2 linked regions of the Mus musculus genome follow. The protein of the gene in region 1 interacts with the protein of each later gene in a pairwise test. Links are inferred from orthologs where the notes say so. Each region holds a gene or a part of one and is shown in the gene's direction. Other genes may lie near its edges.

What was found.
Region 2: the proteins of Ccdc136 (region 1) and Cdk2ap1 interact in binary tests that used the Homo sapiens proteins (3 or more experiments, as listed by UniProt). The two-hybrid records come from large-scale screens. The link is inferred for Mus musculus from reciprocal best matches to the Homo sapiens genes CCDC136 and CDK2AP1.

Annotation. Positions count from the first base shown.
Region 1 is NC_000072.6:29,400,548-29,408,746, forward strand, and holds part of Ccdc136 (coiled-coil domain-containing protein 136), read left to right. Parts: intron 1-2,314; exon of another isoform or gene 2,315-2,462; coding exon of another isoform or gene 2,463-2,478; intron 2,479-5,323; coding exon 5,324-5,644; intron 5,645-8,199. UniProt on the Homo sapiens protein: May play a role in acrosome formation in spermatogenesis and in fertilization.
Region 2 is NC_000071.6:124,352,278-124,355,877, reverse strand, and holds the start of Cdk2ap1 (cyclin-dependent kinase 2-associated protein 1), read left to right. Parts: upstream 1-1,249; 5' UTR 1,250-1,506; coding exon 1,507-1,561; intron 1,562-3,600. UniProt on the Homo sapiens protein: Inhibitor of cyclin-dependent kinase CDK2. Also acts as a component of the histone deacetylase NuRD complex which participates in the remodeling of chromatin.

The DNA of each region.
Region 1 (8,199 bases):
AAGGACCAACAAAGAACACAATTGTCCAAATCCCTGAAGAGTAGACTCCACATCTGGGCAGGGGTGGTACAGGCCAGTAATCCCAGTATGTGGGAAGTAAAAGCAAGAACATCAGGAATTTGATGCCGTCCTTGGCTACATACTGAGTTCAAGGCTATCTGGGTTTCATGAGACCCCGTGTCATGAAAAATAAATTCTAAAGGAAAGCATAATAATACAAGTTCAGGTATTAATAAAGGCAACACAGGTATGAATATAATATTCAGTATAAATATGTGATATCGATAAGTTAATTTTTTTTTACCAGTAAAATGAGCCACCTCAAGCCAGATTAGATTATATTAAATGCAGGTTTATTGGGAAGCTGCTTTCAGGTGAGTTCACTGACCCCAAGGACTAAAGCCAAGGGAGTCGCCATGGGAAGGAGAGAGAGGTGAAGAGAAAAAGAAAGAAAGTAAAAGTATGCGCAGAGACTGAAGAGAAGAAGAAGAGAAAAGGAGATCAAAATGTCTGGAATATATAAGGAGGAGCCTCTCGGGGAAGGGCAGCCCAGCCCCTGGGCTAGAAAGTTCAGGGTTGGGGGCAGGGTATGCCAGGTAGGGGCTGAGAGATGCTGGGAGAACCTGGAGGCTAGGTCTGCTTTGGTATGGAAGATATGTCCTTCTCCCAGGACAGATACATGGATAGGGATGAGGTAGGAGTTAGTTAGGTGATGAAAAGCCTTCAAGAAGGGGGTGCTTCCGTTGCGTAATGGGAAGAATCCAACCATTCAAAATCTGATGGACAGACCTACTAGACAGAAGAACGGCAACAGCAAGGTCCGGAGATGAGAATGAGCTTCATGGGTGAGGGGACCAGAACCAAGGTCATTTCAAAGTTCATGGGAAGGTCCCTTGTAGGAGTACGTTCCAAGAAGAAGGCAGAGGTCTGCTTAGGGTGGGTAGGCCTTTTAGGTCAGCTGACAGAGCTAGCTTTCATCATAGGAAAGGAGATGCTACAAGAGGCTGGAATGACTGATACGATCTACATTTTTAGTTAGCTCTTTGCCTTTTTCCCCCCGTGGTGGGGGTTGAATCCAAGGCTTTTGCCAGGTGCTGACCACTGAGCAACATCCTTAAACCTTTGCTTTCCCTTTGCAAGAGAGTACTTTAGAATCCAGGAGGAAGAAATGGCGTTAGGCATGCTAGTAGGTCCATTTAACTGACTGCTTTCTTTTTTTTTTTTTTTTTTTTTTTTTTTTTTTCGAGACAGTGTTTCTCTGTGTAGTCTTGGCTGTCCTGGAACTCACTCTGTAGACCAGGCTGGCCTCGAACTCAGAAATCCACCTGCTTCTGCCTCCCAAGTGCTGGGATTAAAGGTGTGCGCCACCATGCCCAGCCTAACTGACTTTCTTGAATTAAGGCAGTAGAAATGGAGATGGTTGGGAGCATATTTTGAATGTGGTCCCTTCATGACTTTGCCAGGAGAAACTGGGTAAATACTGATATCTAGTGGGATGTCGAAGGGAAAGCTTGGTAAGAAATTTGCTTGCGAACTAGAGAAGCCATTTAAAAGTTTTTTGGCTGGATGGGTTTGTTTGATGTCCAAGTGAGTATGTGAAGGAGCCATTTGCGTGTATGATCTAGAACTGGGGGTGAAACAAGGGCTGAAAATGAGCTTTGGTAATTATTAACAAGCAGACAGCATCATCTATGGGAGATGGACATTCGTTCAGTCACACCAAGAGATACCAGAGGGGAGAGAAAGAGACACTCCTAAGTAGGGGCCCAAGATAGGAGGAATGGTAAAAGGAACATGACTCTGCCCTGAAAGGCAAGAGCAAAAGATGCTTCAGGGAAATGATGATCCACTGTGTGGAAAGCTGGGAAGGCAACGGAGGTGGCTGCTTGGGTCGGCAAGATGGAGAACCAGGAGCCATGGCAGAATGGACTGGGATTGGCGAGAGAGAAACGGGAGGTCAAATGGAGAACAAACTGCGTACAGATCATAGTGATAGCCATTTTAAAGAGAAATAAGGGAAGGTGAGGTGGAAAGGGTTTCGTTTTTAAGGCAAGGAACCCTTGATCTTGTTTTTATGATGAAGGAAAGGGTCCCATTGAGTCGAGCCAAGTATTAGTCTTTGCTTGGAAAAGAGGTTTTTTTTTTCTTCCCAGGATGGAGAAGTCTGAAAGTCTGAAAGAGCCAGGGAAACAGGGAAATAAGAGTTGTTGCTAGAGGTCAAGGATTCCCAGGCAGGTGAGGGACCGCGGGCATCCAACCCACTCCAAGCCCCGCCCCGCGGATGGAACCTGAGACGGGTCCTTGCGCACGCGCCTTGCCCGTTTCCGCCGAGTGGGGGCGCTCGCGGCCTCAGAGGTACCTAGTGTTCAGAGGCGGTTCCGGCCGCCAAAGCCCCCCTGGGGCGGCACCGGCCGGGAGGCGGGAGCCCCCCCTTTGGAGACCGCTTGTGGGGGGCCGCCGAGATGCAGGCCATAACCAGTAAGTGCCAAGTGTCTTCTTTGCCCCCCGAATCCTCCGCCGCGCCCCCTGAAGGCCCCAGCCCGCAGTCAACCGGCGCCAGCTCTTTGGAACCTGGTCCCTGCCTTTCCAACTCCTGGCTGGCCTATCCCATTCAGCTTCCAAGATGAGCCTGGCCCCTCGCCACCTATCACTACCCTGACTCCCATGATCTAAGAAGGCTCTTTACAGAGCCAGGTCCCGAACAGCTAGCTAGTGAGGTTTGAGGGTATGCTAGGGAGATGGAGGTTAGGCTGTGCCCCTAGAATGCCCAGGCCTGGGGTGGGGTCTTCATCATAGTGACCAGTTGACACCCCCCCCCCCCCATGCCTCTCGCTCCAACTAAGCTGAGCTGAGGATCTAGATATCACCTTGTAAATTCTTGTACTGTGGAATATATTTGTGTTGTGGGGTGTTTTAGTTGGTCTTCCCATCTCTTGGTCATAAACTTTATGAAAACAAGGAACACGCTGGTTTTATTTACTTCCTTTCAAATAGAAAGTCAGGATGTGGGGATACGGGTCAGTATGTAGCCATATGAGATGCTGGGTTCAACCTGTCCACTTATTGGCCATATACCCAAATGGGTGCTTTCTCCCTTCTTCTCTCCCTCCCGTACAGCTTGACACAGGCTGGTCTCAAACTCCTAGACTCAAGCAGTACTCTTACTTCGGCCTCTAGAGTGCTGGGACTATAGACATGTACAATGGTGCCCTTAAATGTGTCTTATAGAACGCCCATGTGCTCTTAACATGTAATGTTGCGTATACAGAAGAAACTCAGTAAAAATTGAATGAATGAGTCTCTACCTCCTACATGAATATAGTAAATTTATATTTATTGAGCTGGATTTGGGCTTAATTTCCTTGGTTAAAGGTTGAACCCAGCATCTCATGTGTGCTAGGTACTGAACTACATCCCCATGGCCTGACTTTCTGTTTGAAAGGAAGTAAATGAAACCAGCATGTTCCCTGTTTGCATAAACTTTATAGCCAAGTGAGGACAGAACGGAACACAGCCACATGTGCTACAGAGTTCAAGGCACTATATGAGCCTTGAGGATTCCTCTTAACTTTTGGAGGAGGTGGAGGAGACGTTAGAAAAAGATGGAACCTGGATGTTTGCTAGAATATGCAGGAGATGGGACATGGGGACAGCATACCTTGTAAAGTCCAGTTCTCTTCCATCCCTTAATCCTTCCCACACTTCTGAAGTCTTCTTGAAATCCATGACTTTAACTCTCCACTTCCGAGTTATTTTCACCCATTCCAAATGGGTGCCTGCATCCAGATGCGAAACTAGATATAGTGACTCATGTCTGTAATCTCATCACTCGGGAGGCTGAGTTTGAGATCAGCCTGTGCTACAGAATGAGACCCTGTCTTAAAAAGCAAAAGAGGAGAGGTAGGTGGATCTCTTGAGTTCCAGGACAGCCAGGGCTACACAGAGAAACCTATTTCAAAAAACCAAAAAAGAAACAAACTGAAACAACCTCAGATGATCCCCAGGGTTCTGACACATTTGTTTTGCATATTAAAATATAAGCACAATCCATATATAAAGTGTAGACACGTGTGAAAAATCAAGCAACACTGCTACAAGATGGAGATTAAGACACCTGTAATGTTACCCTACTCCTCTGAAGCAATTGCTCTTTTTTAAATGTATTTTCTGTGACTCTGTGAATGTGGAAACCAGGAGTCAGTGTCAAGTGTCTTCCTCACTCTTCCCCTTATGTTTTGAGACAGAGACTCTCACTAAACCAGGAGCTCCCTGCTTTAGCCAAACTGGCAAGCCAATAAGCTGCAGGGATCTGTCTCTGCCTGCTCCACATGCTGTAGTCCCAGGGTTAGGGCACCGACTCATGCCACTAGGTCTGGGTTTTATGTGGATGCCAGGGATCTGATCTCAGGCCCTTAATTAAGCTTGTATGGTAAGCCCTTTTCCCACACTTGAAGCGTCTACTCTTTATGGTTTGGGGCATAGATCTTCTTCGACTGTTTTTCTGTATCTTTAAGTATTTATGTTGTACAGTATCTGATTTGTTTTTCTTTCTCCCTAATATATCCTAAAAATCACTTTCATATTTTTCTAGCTAGTAAAAAAGGTTTCTTTTGACTTAATGTTTTTGGAGGTCTAAAAGTGGCACAGACATTGGCTTCTACTTAAGGCTCTCGGTGAGCTGTATCATGATCCCAACAGTTGATGTTGTCAACCACCATGCAGGTTATTATTCGGTGTTTTATTTTTTTTTTTAAAGATTTATTTATTTATTATATGTAAGTACACTGGAGCTGTCTTCAGACACTCCAGAAGAGGGCGTCAGATCTTGTTACAGATGGTTGTGAGCCACCATGTGGTTTCTGGGATTTGAACTCCGGACCTTCGGAAGAGCAGTCGGGTGCTCTTACCCACTGAGCCATCTCACCAGCCCTGGTGTTTTATTATTTTGTGGTGAAATTATTATTTAATTTCACCTTGAATTCTACATGTGTACTGTTTTGCATCCTGTGCTTACAGGAAGTGTGGGGCTAAGAGGAGCCTCTGGGGTCTTGTATTTCCTAAGCCCCAGGATGGATAAATGAAAATACTCTGAATTTTGTTTTTTTTTTAACTTACGAAATTTTTAGAAAGACTTAGGACACTGATAAAATACAACCTATTAGGTGCTCTGGATCTCTGGTGGGGGAAAGACTAGGTTGTCAGTGGCTTTCAGACAGCAGGTAAGACTCTCTTGAACGCTGTGTTTCCAGACTTTGCTCAGCACATTCACCTCTTGACCACCAACCTTTGGGTTTGTTTGTTTGTTTGTTTGTTTGTTTTTCAGGTGAGCTGCAACATCTACGGGAGGAGATTTCCCTGTTAGAGCATGAGAAGGAAAGCGAACTTAAAGAAATGGAGCAGGAGTTGCATTTGGCCCAAGCAGAGATCCAAAATCTACGGCAAGCTGCGGCAGACTCTGCCACTGAACATGAGAGTGACATAGCGTCCTTGCAGGATGATCTCTGCCGGTTGCAGAATGATCTCGATGACATGGAGCGCATTCGAGGGGACTATGAGATGGAGATTGCCTCGCTCCGGGCAGAAATGGAATTGAAGACTTCTGAACCATCTAATCTAAGCATCTCCGACTTCTCTGGGATACAAGGTATGCAACTTTCTGGTCTGTTCACACAGTTGAACAGAGGAGAGGACATTGTAGATAGGAAGATGGTGGAAGAGTAGTGTTAGATTACGCATTAGAAACCTCTAGAAAAAAAGATCCCCTGTGTTTACTTTGAGATTGGAGAGGAAAACTCAGCTGTTACATAACCAGTCCATGATGGTGTAAGAATTAGAGATGGACCCTGGAGATTCTTAACAGAGAGCTGCCGGGCACTGGTTGGTGTGAGTATGGGAAGGTCCACTCTGGGAAAGTGTCCAGGTCTGGGGTAGATGCAGAAGGACCTGTCACGGTAGGAAACACTTCCTGCTGCTGTGGCATCATGGCTCTTTGCCTGAACCTGTTTGGGCCTCTAGCCCAGCCTTTAAGATCCAGAATGCTAATTCTTAGCTTCATTTAGCCCTCCTGAGTAGAAACTTTGGAAGGCAGCTAATCGGAGCACAAGACAGCTGGAGAGGAAAAAAAGGTTATTTCTAGTAATGCATGCGGTACTCAAAAGCTTCGAGCCCTGTTCCAGTCTGTCTCCCAGCTCGTTGCTAGGATTCATGACATCAGAGGGTTTGCCTTTATTCTAGCCTAGATTTATGATCCAAGTATAATGGAGGCCCTATATTTGGCCAGGTCAGGCAGAGACAGTCAACAAGGAAATCAAAGAATTGCAATCTTCCCAGCCGTATGAAGCTTTTCAGAAAGAGTTGCCTTTGGCCGGGTGGTGCTAGGAAAGGGCAGTGCAGGGGAAGGGGGCAGCTAGGGATGACCTAACCTGAGTCAAAAACCTGGCTCTAGTTGGGGAGCAGGATCAACTCAGTCAAGTTACTGTCTCTCTCCAAGCTTCATCTCTATATCTGGAGTCTGAACCCTACTTGGTTGATAAATTCTTACAGCAGGATGGGACTCTGGGACAAGAAAGGGAGGCCTAAGGGAAACACAGAGGAACCTGAGTGCTATGTGGAGTTAACTAGGATGGATGGCTGCTGGCTCCTTAGTCATGGCAGATGGGCAGTGGTGAGCTAAGAGCCCACAGCTGAGGAACCAAGGGGAGAATTCTCCAAGTGGGCTTCGGACTGGCTTCTTTTGTTTTGTTAGTCTAAAACTATACTAAAATCAAAGGTTTATTTAAGCAGGAGATCTTATAAAAGGCTATTTCAAGGATTAAATGAAGGTCAAAACCATCAAGTCTTCATACACAGTTCTCATTACAGTTTCTTACTTCCCACTGTAATCTTCAGGAATCTGAGAGTATTTATTTATTTATTTATATTTATTTATTTAAGACAGGTGTCCCTACATAGCCCTGGCTGTCCTAGAATTTGTTATGTAGACCAGGCTGGCCTTAAACTCACAGAGGTCTCTGCCTCTGCCTCCCAAATGCTGTGATTTAAGCTTGTGCCACCATGCCTGGACCTGTCTAAGAACTTGTGGTTGGATTAAAGAAGAAACATTAAAACTGGAGTTCAGGGGTGTTGAATCCTCTTACAAGTAAAATACCGTATATTGTAATTAAGGCCAGTTTGTGCATCTTAAATGTTAGTAGAACTAGTGTTCTAAGTGCTGTGATTCTTTGTCTGTGAATGAGTGTGTGCTGTATGTGTGTTGGAGTAGGGGACGCACTGACATCTACACATACTGTAGAAGCCAGGGGTTGATATGGGCATCTGCCTCTATCAGTGTCTGACATACCTTTTCTGGAGACAGGATCTGTTACTGAACTTGAAGTTTACCACCTTGACTAGACTGACTCACTAGGGATCCCCCAGAGTCTACCAGTCTCCACACCCTCAGTGCTGGGGTTATAGGTACAAGCTACCATCCCTGGCTTTTTAATGGAGACGTTGGGAATCTGAACTTAGGTCCTCATGTTTATACAAACACTTTACCTACTCAGCCACTTCCCCAGCCCCAGTAATATTATTCTTTTCTTGAAATCTTTATTTGGTTTTATTTATATGTATGTGTATCTGTGTGTCTGCCATGTTTGTGTAACTGCTGAGTCCAGCAGTGGGCGCTGAGCTGAAGTTATAGGTGGTTATAAGCCAGGTAACATGGGTGCTGGAAACTGATGTCGCTCTTGTAGAAAAGCATCAACTCACTTAAAGACTGAGCCATCTCTCTGACTCTCTGGCCCTGTTGGTTCTTATTCATAAAGAGATAAAGCATGGGTATTTGTAGCAACTGGGAAATTTTAATTAACCTTTTCTCTCTTCTAATGCTTGAGGAAAACATTTTAGATTGAGATGGGCTTTTTTTGTCAGCAGATGAAGAAAACGAATATGACTTGGGGGTGGTATGCTTGCTGGCTTGCATGGTAAGGCCCTAGGTTTTATCCCAAGCACCCTTCCTCCTCACCAACAAACAACCAAACAAACAAAACCCCACAAGGAATATTTATCTGTAGCCAGGCCAGTGTCTTCAGTGTGAAGAGAAAGGAAAGGAAGGATGGCCAGCATGAGTGGGTTGTCTGTGAAAGGCAGATCTAGAAGGTTCACATCTGGCAGGGCTTTGAACTAAAAGAGTCATGGGGGCTATAGTTGTCCCTCAGT
Region 2 (3,600 bases), on another chromosome or scaffold:
ATAAGAGAAAAATGTCACCAGGAAGCAGTTTGCCAGAAGGAGCCTAAGGGTGCTGCTGGTGGTGGTGGGGGAGGGTGGAAGAGGAGGTCCCCTCTTCTGCACCTTTCGTCCCAAAGAAGGGGGGATTAAGACCCCGGTGGTGGTCCCCTTTTTTTCTCTAGCGGAGAGGCTGACGCCGTTGTCACCAGATCCACAGATGATGTCTAAATATGACTAATTAAAAAAAAAAAAAACCTGCAAACCATGGCGATTAAAAACAACAGAAAAAGGTGGGCGTTTTATGTAATGTGATGAGCATTACTATGCAGGCAGAACTCCAAAATATAGTACCTTTGGAAGGTTATTCATCACATCCCAAATACGTTTGGTTGTGACGTTTCAGTCAGTTTAGAGATGGGCGGGGGCGTGTGTGGGGCGGGATAGGGTGGGGTGGGGAGGGGAAGAGGGGTCCAAAAAAAAAAAAAAAAATGGAGTGCAAACTCCGGGGAGTCGAAACTTTGCCAAGTTCACTCTTGCCTCCTTAGCCTATAAAAACCGTGTCGGGCACACAGTAGGTGCTCGGTTGAAATATTCCAAAGAGTTCGTGTGACAAACGTCATGACGGATGCAAGAGCGAATTTTCTAGTGGAGGTGTCGTTGTCTCTCCATCCAGCTTTTGTCAGTCTCAAAGGCGTCTTGGGTTCCCAAAGGGTTAAAAAAAAAAAAAAACAAACTCACTTAATCCAAGCAGAGACATGACATTTTTTTTTTCCCCGTCTCGAAATAAATGTCAAGAATGGGTTATTCTAATTCTGGGATAGAGCCAGACGTGGGCATCTGGAATGATTTCCGTGAATTAAAAAAAAAACAAAAAAACAAAAAACAACAAAAAAAACCAAAACCAAAAAGAAAAAGAAACCCAAAAAAACCAAAACCAAATCACCCCAATCGCCACCATTTTCTCCAGGTAATTTTCCATCCCTGCCCCCACAGTCAAGAGACACTGAGAAGAAGAAGAAGGAAAAAAAAAAGTACTTCTTCCATCCTCCCTGGCTGTTTAAGAAAAGAGGAAGGCGCGGGCCAATGAGCGGCGCGCGGGAGGCCGGGGCGCGGCGGGGGCGCCGCGGGGACCGCAGCCCCCCAAACTTTGGCAAGTTGCGGGCGGCGGCGCAGCGCGGGGCGCGGCCGCGAGAGGAGCCGCCCCCTCGACGCCCGCCGCCCCCTCCCGGTCCGGCCCCGGCCCAGCACCGACCGGCTGGGCTCAAAGTTTGCGGCCGCCCCTGCGCCGCGCGCCCGATGTATGGGTGATCTACTGCGGCGGCGGCGGCGGCGGCGGCGGCAGGGTGAGGGACGGCCATATTTGCCGGCGCGGCCCGAGCCGGCGACAACAAAAAGTGCGCGGGCTCCCGGCGGGCGCTCGGACGGCTGCGGGGACGTGGGGCCGCCCGGCCCGGGCCTCGGCCTCGGCCTCGCCGGCGCGCTCGCGGCCTGGCCCGGCTCTGCCCGGCGCGCCCGCCGCCCGCGGGGATGTCGTACAAGCCGAACTTGACCGCGCACATGCCCGCCGCCGCCCTCAACGCCGGTGAGTGAGAGCGAGCGAGCGCGGGCCGCGCGCGCCGCCCCGCGCCGCAAGTGTCGCCAAGTTGGGGGCTCGCGCTCCGGGCCGCGGCCCGGGGCTCCCCGGAGGCGCGCGGTGCCTTGGGCGGGCGTGCTGGCCGAGGATGGTGGCGCGAGGGAACGGGGCGGAGGGAAGGAGGTGTCCCGGGCCGGGGCAGCGGGAACGCCACCGCCGCCGACTCAGCCGCGCCGCCGCCGCCATGATTCCGCCGCCTCCGCTGCGCTGCCAAAGTTCGCGGTGCGCCCGGAGCTCGGCGGGGCAGCGGCCGGGGGCTCCCGGTGTGAGCGGCGGGGCGGCCGCGGATGGCGGGGAAGCGAGGACGCGGGCAGCCGAGCGAGGAAGGCTCCCCCCCCCCAGCTCCCCCCCTTTTTCTTTCCCCTTCCCTTAGGCTTTTTGGGCGGCTCGGCGAGGGCCCCTGCCGGCGGGAGGCGGGCGACGCAGTGAGCAAGGAGCGGGGCTCGGAGGGTCGGCGGAGCGGGACAGGCTGGGGCCGAGCCGGGTGCAGGGCGGCCGCGGGCCCGGGAGGGAATCTGGCCAGGGTTCCGGGCGGCGGGCCCGGTGGGCAGGGGCCGCTTCCTGGCGATGAGAGCGACTCCCGGGTTCCTTCCCCCGGCCCTCGGGAGACCCCTTGGAAGAAGTTGCAGTGCCCCGGCCTCGTGGGTTCTGTGGGCGGCATGCTGCGGCTCGCCGGTCCCGGGGGTCCCCATCTCAGATCTCCCACGTGGGGACGTCCCCGCAGGGCCGCGCTGCGCAAGCCAAGTGGACCTGGTCTCCCTTCCCCTCCGGGCCTGGGCGCCGCCGAGGAAACTCTTGCAAAGTTCCCAGGCAGCTTTGGGCTGTGGCTGGGGGCTAGCCCCGGACCCCAAGGGAACCCGGAATAGGGATGTGAAACTGACTTCCAGAGGTGACTGGCTTTGTGTCCAATTCCAGTACCCTCTCCTCCCAGACATTTGGCTGTGAGCAGACCACCCCAAGTAGTCTGATGCCCCAACAGATGCCAAGTAGTGGGGACCAGGAGGGATAAGGCCTTTGGGAGGAGTTGGGGGTAGAAGTTGGTTATGGTCGCTGTGTGTTAAAAATCCCACCCGCGTTGGCACTTCCAAGTTGGAGGTCTTGTGTCCAAATGTTGATTCCAGAACTCCAGAAACCCTCAGAGGGACCTGGAAAAGCTCTGGACGTGTGTTTTAAACCACTTCTCTGCTCTTTGGGGTTTGGAAAAGGTTGAGATTTAGGGTGCCAGCCTGGGAGAGTTGAAACGCTAGCACGTGGGCACAAAGACCCCCCCCCCCCAAGAGCATGCAGTCACTGTATCTTTTCAAATGGTTTCACTCCCTTTGGGTGACAGGATTTGTCGTCAGATATGATTTTTGCCTCTCAGTCTTCTTGGTCAGTGTTTGGGATGGAAGGGCAGTAGGTTGCGTTGCCAGCCCTAGGGAGACCAGAGACGTAGGCTTGATCTGGGCTAGTTTCCCGTGTGTCTTACACTGGGGACCTTTTGGGGTGTGGGTCCCAGTGCAGACCGCCCCTGGGACTCTGAAGCCCTGTTCTGGGCTTGCTAGCACCTGTATTCAGCTGTAGTTATTTTGCCAATGGGGAATGCCAGGATGCGTGCGGGGGTCTCCAGGTGTTCGGCATTTTGGTGGGGGCCCGCCCGCTTGCCGGTATTACTTTGCAGAAAGCCCTTCTCTCCCCTGCCATCTGCATCCAAGATGGACTCTCACAGTGGCTCCTCCGCCTTCCCTGTCATCATCTCTCACGCCCTCCAGGCCTGCCTCCTGCTCACTGAGTTGCCAAGCTGCGGCCTGGCCGGCAGTGGCAGTGGCGGAGTTAGACAAAGCCCCCGCCTTCCCCCGCCCGAGAGCCCCCCCCCCCCAGGGCGCCCCAAGTGGCGGGAAGGCCGCCAGCTCCCCAGGCCCAGGCCGCTCTTTGTCTGGCATGGGGGCGGGGAGCTGAGCCTGGCCCCAGGAGCTTCCTGGCCTCTGCCAAGCCCTCTCAGCTCTCTC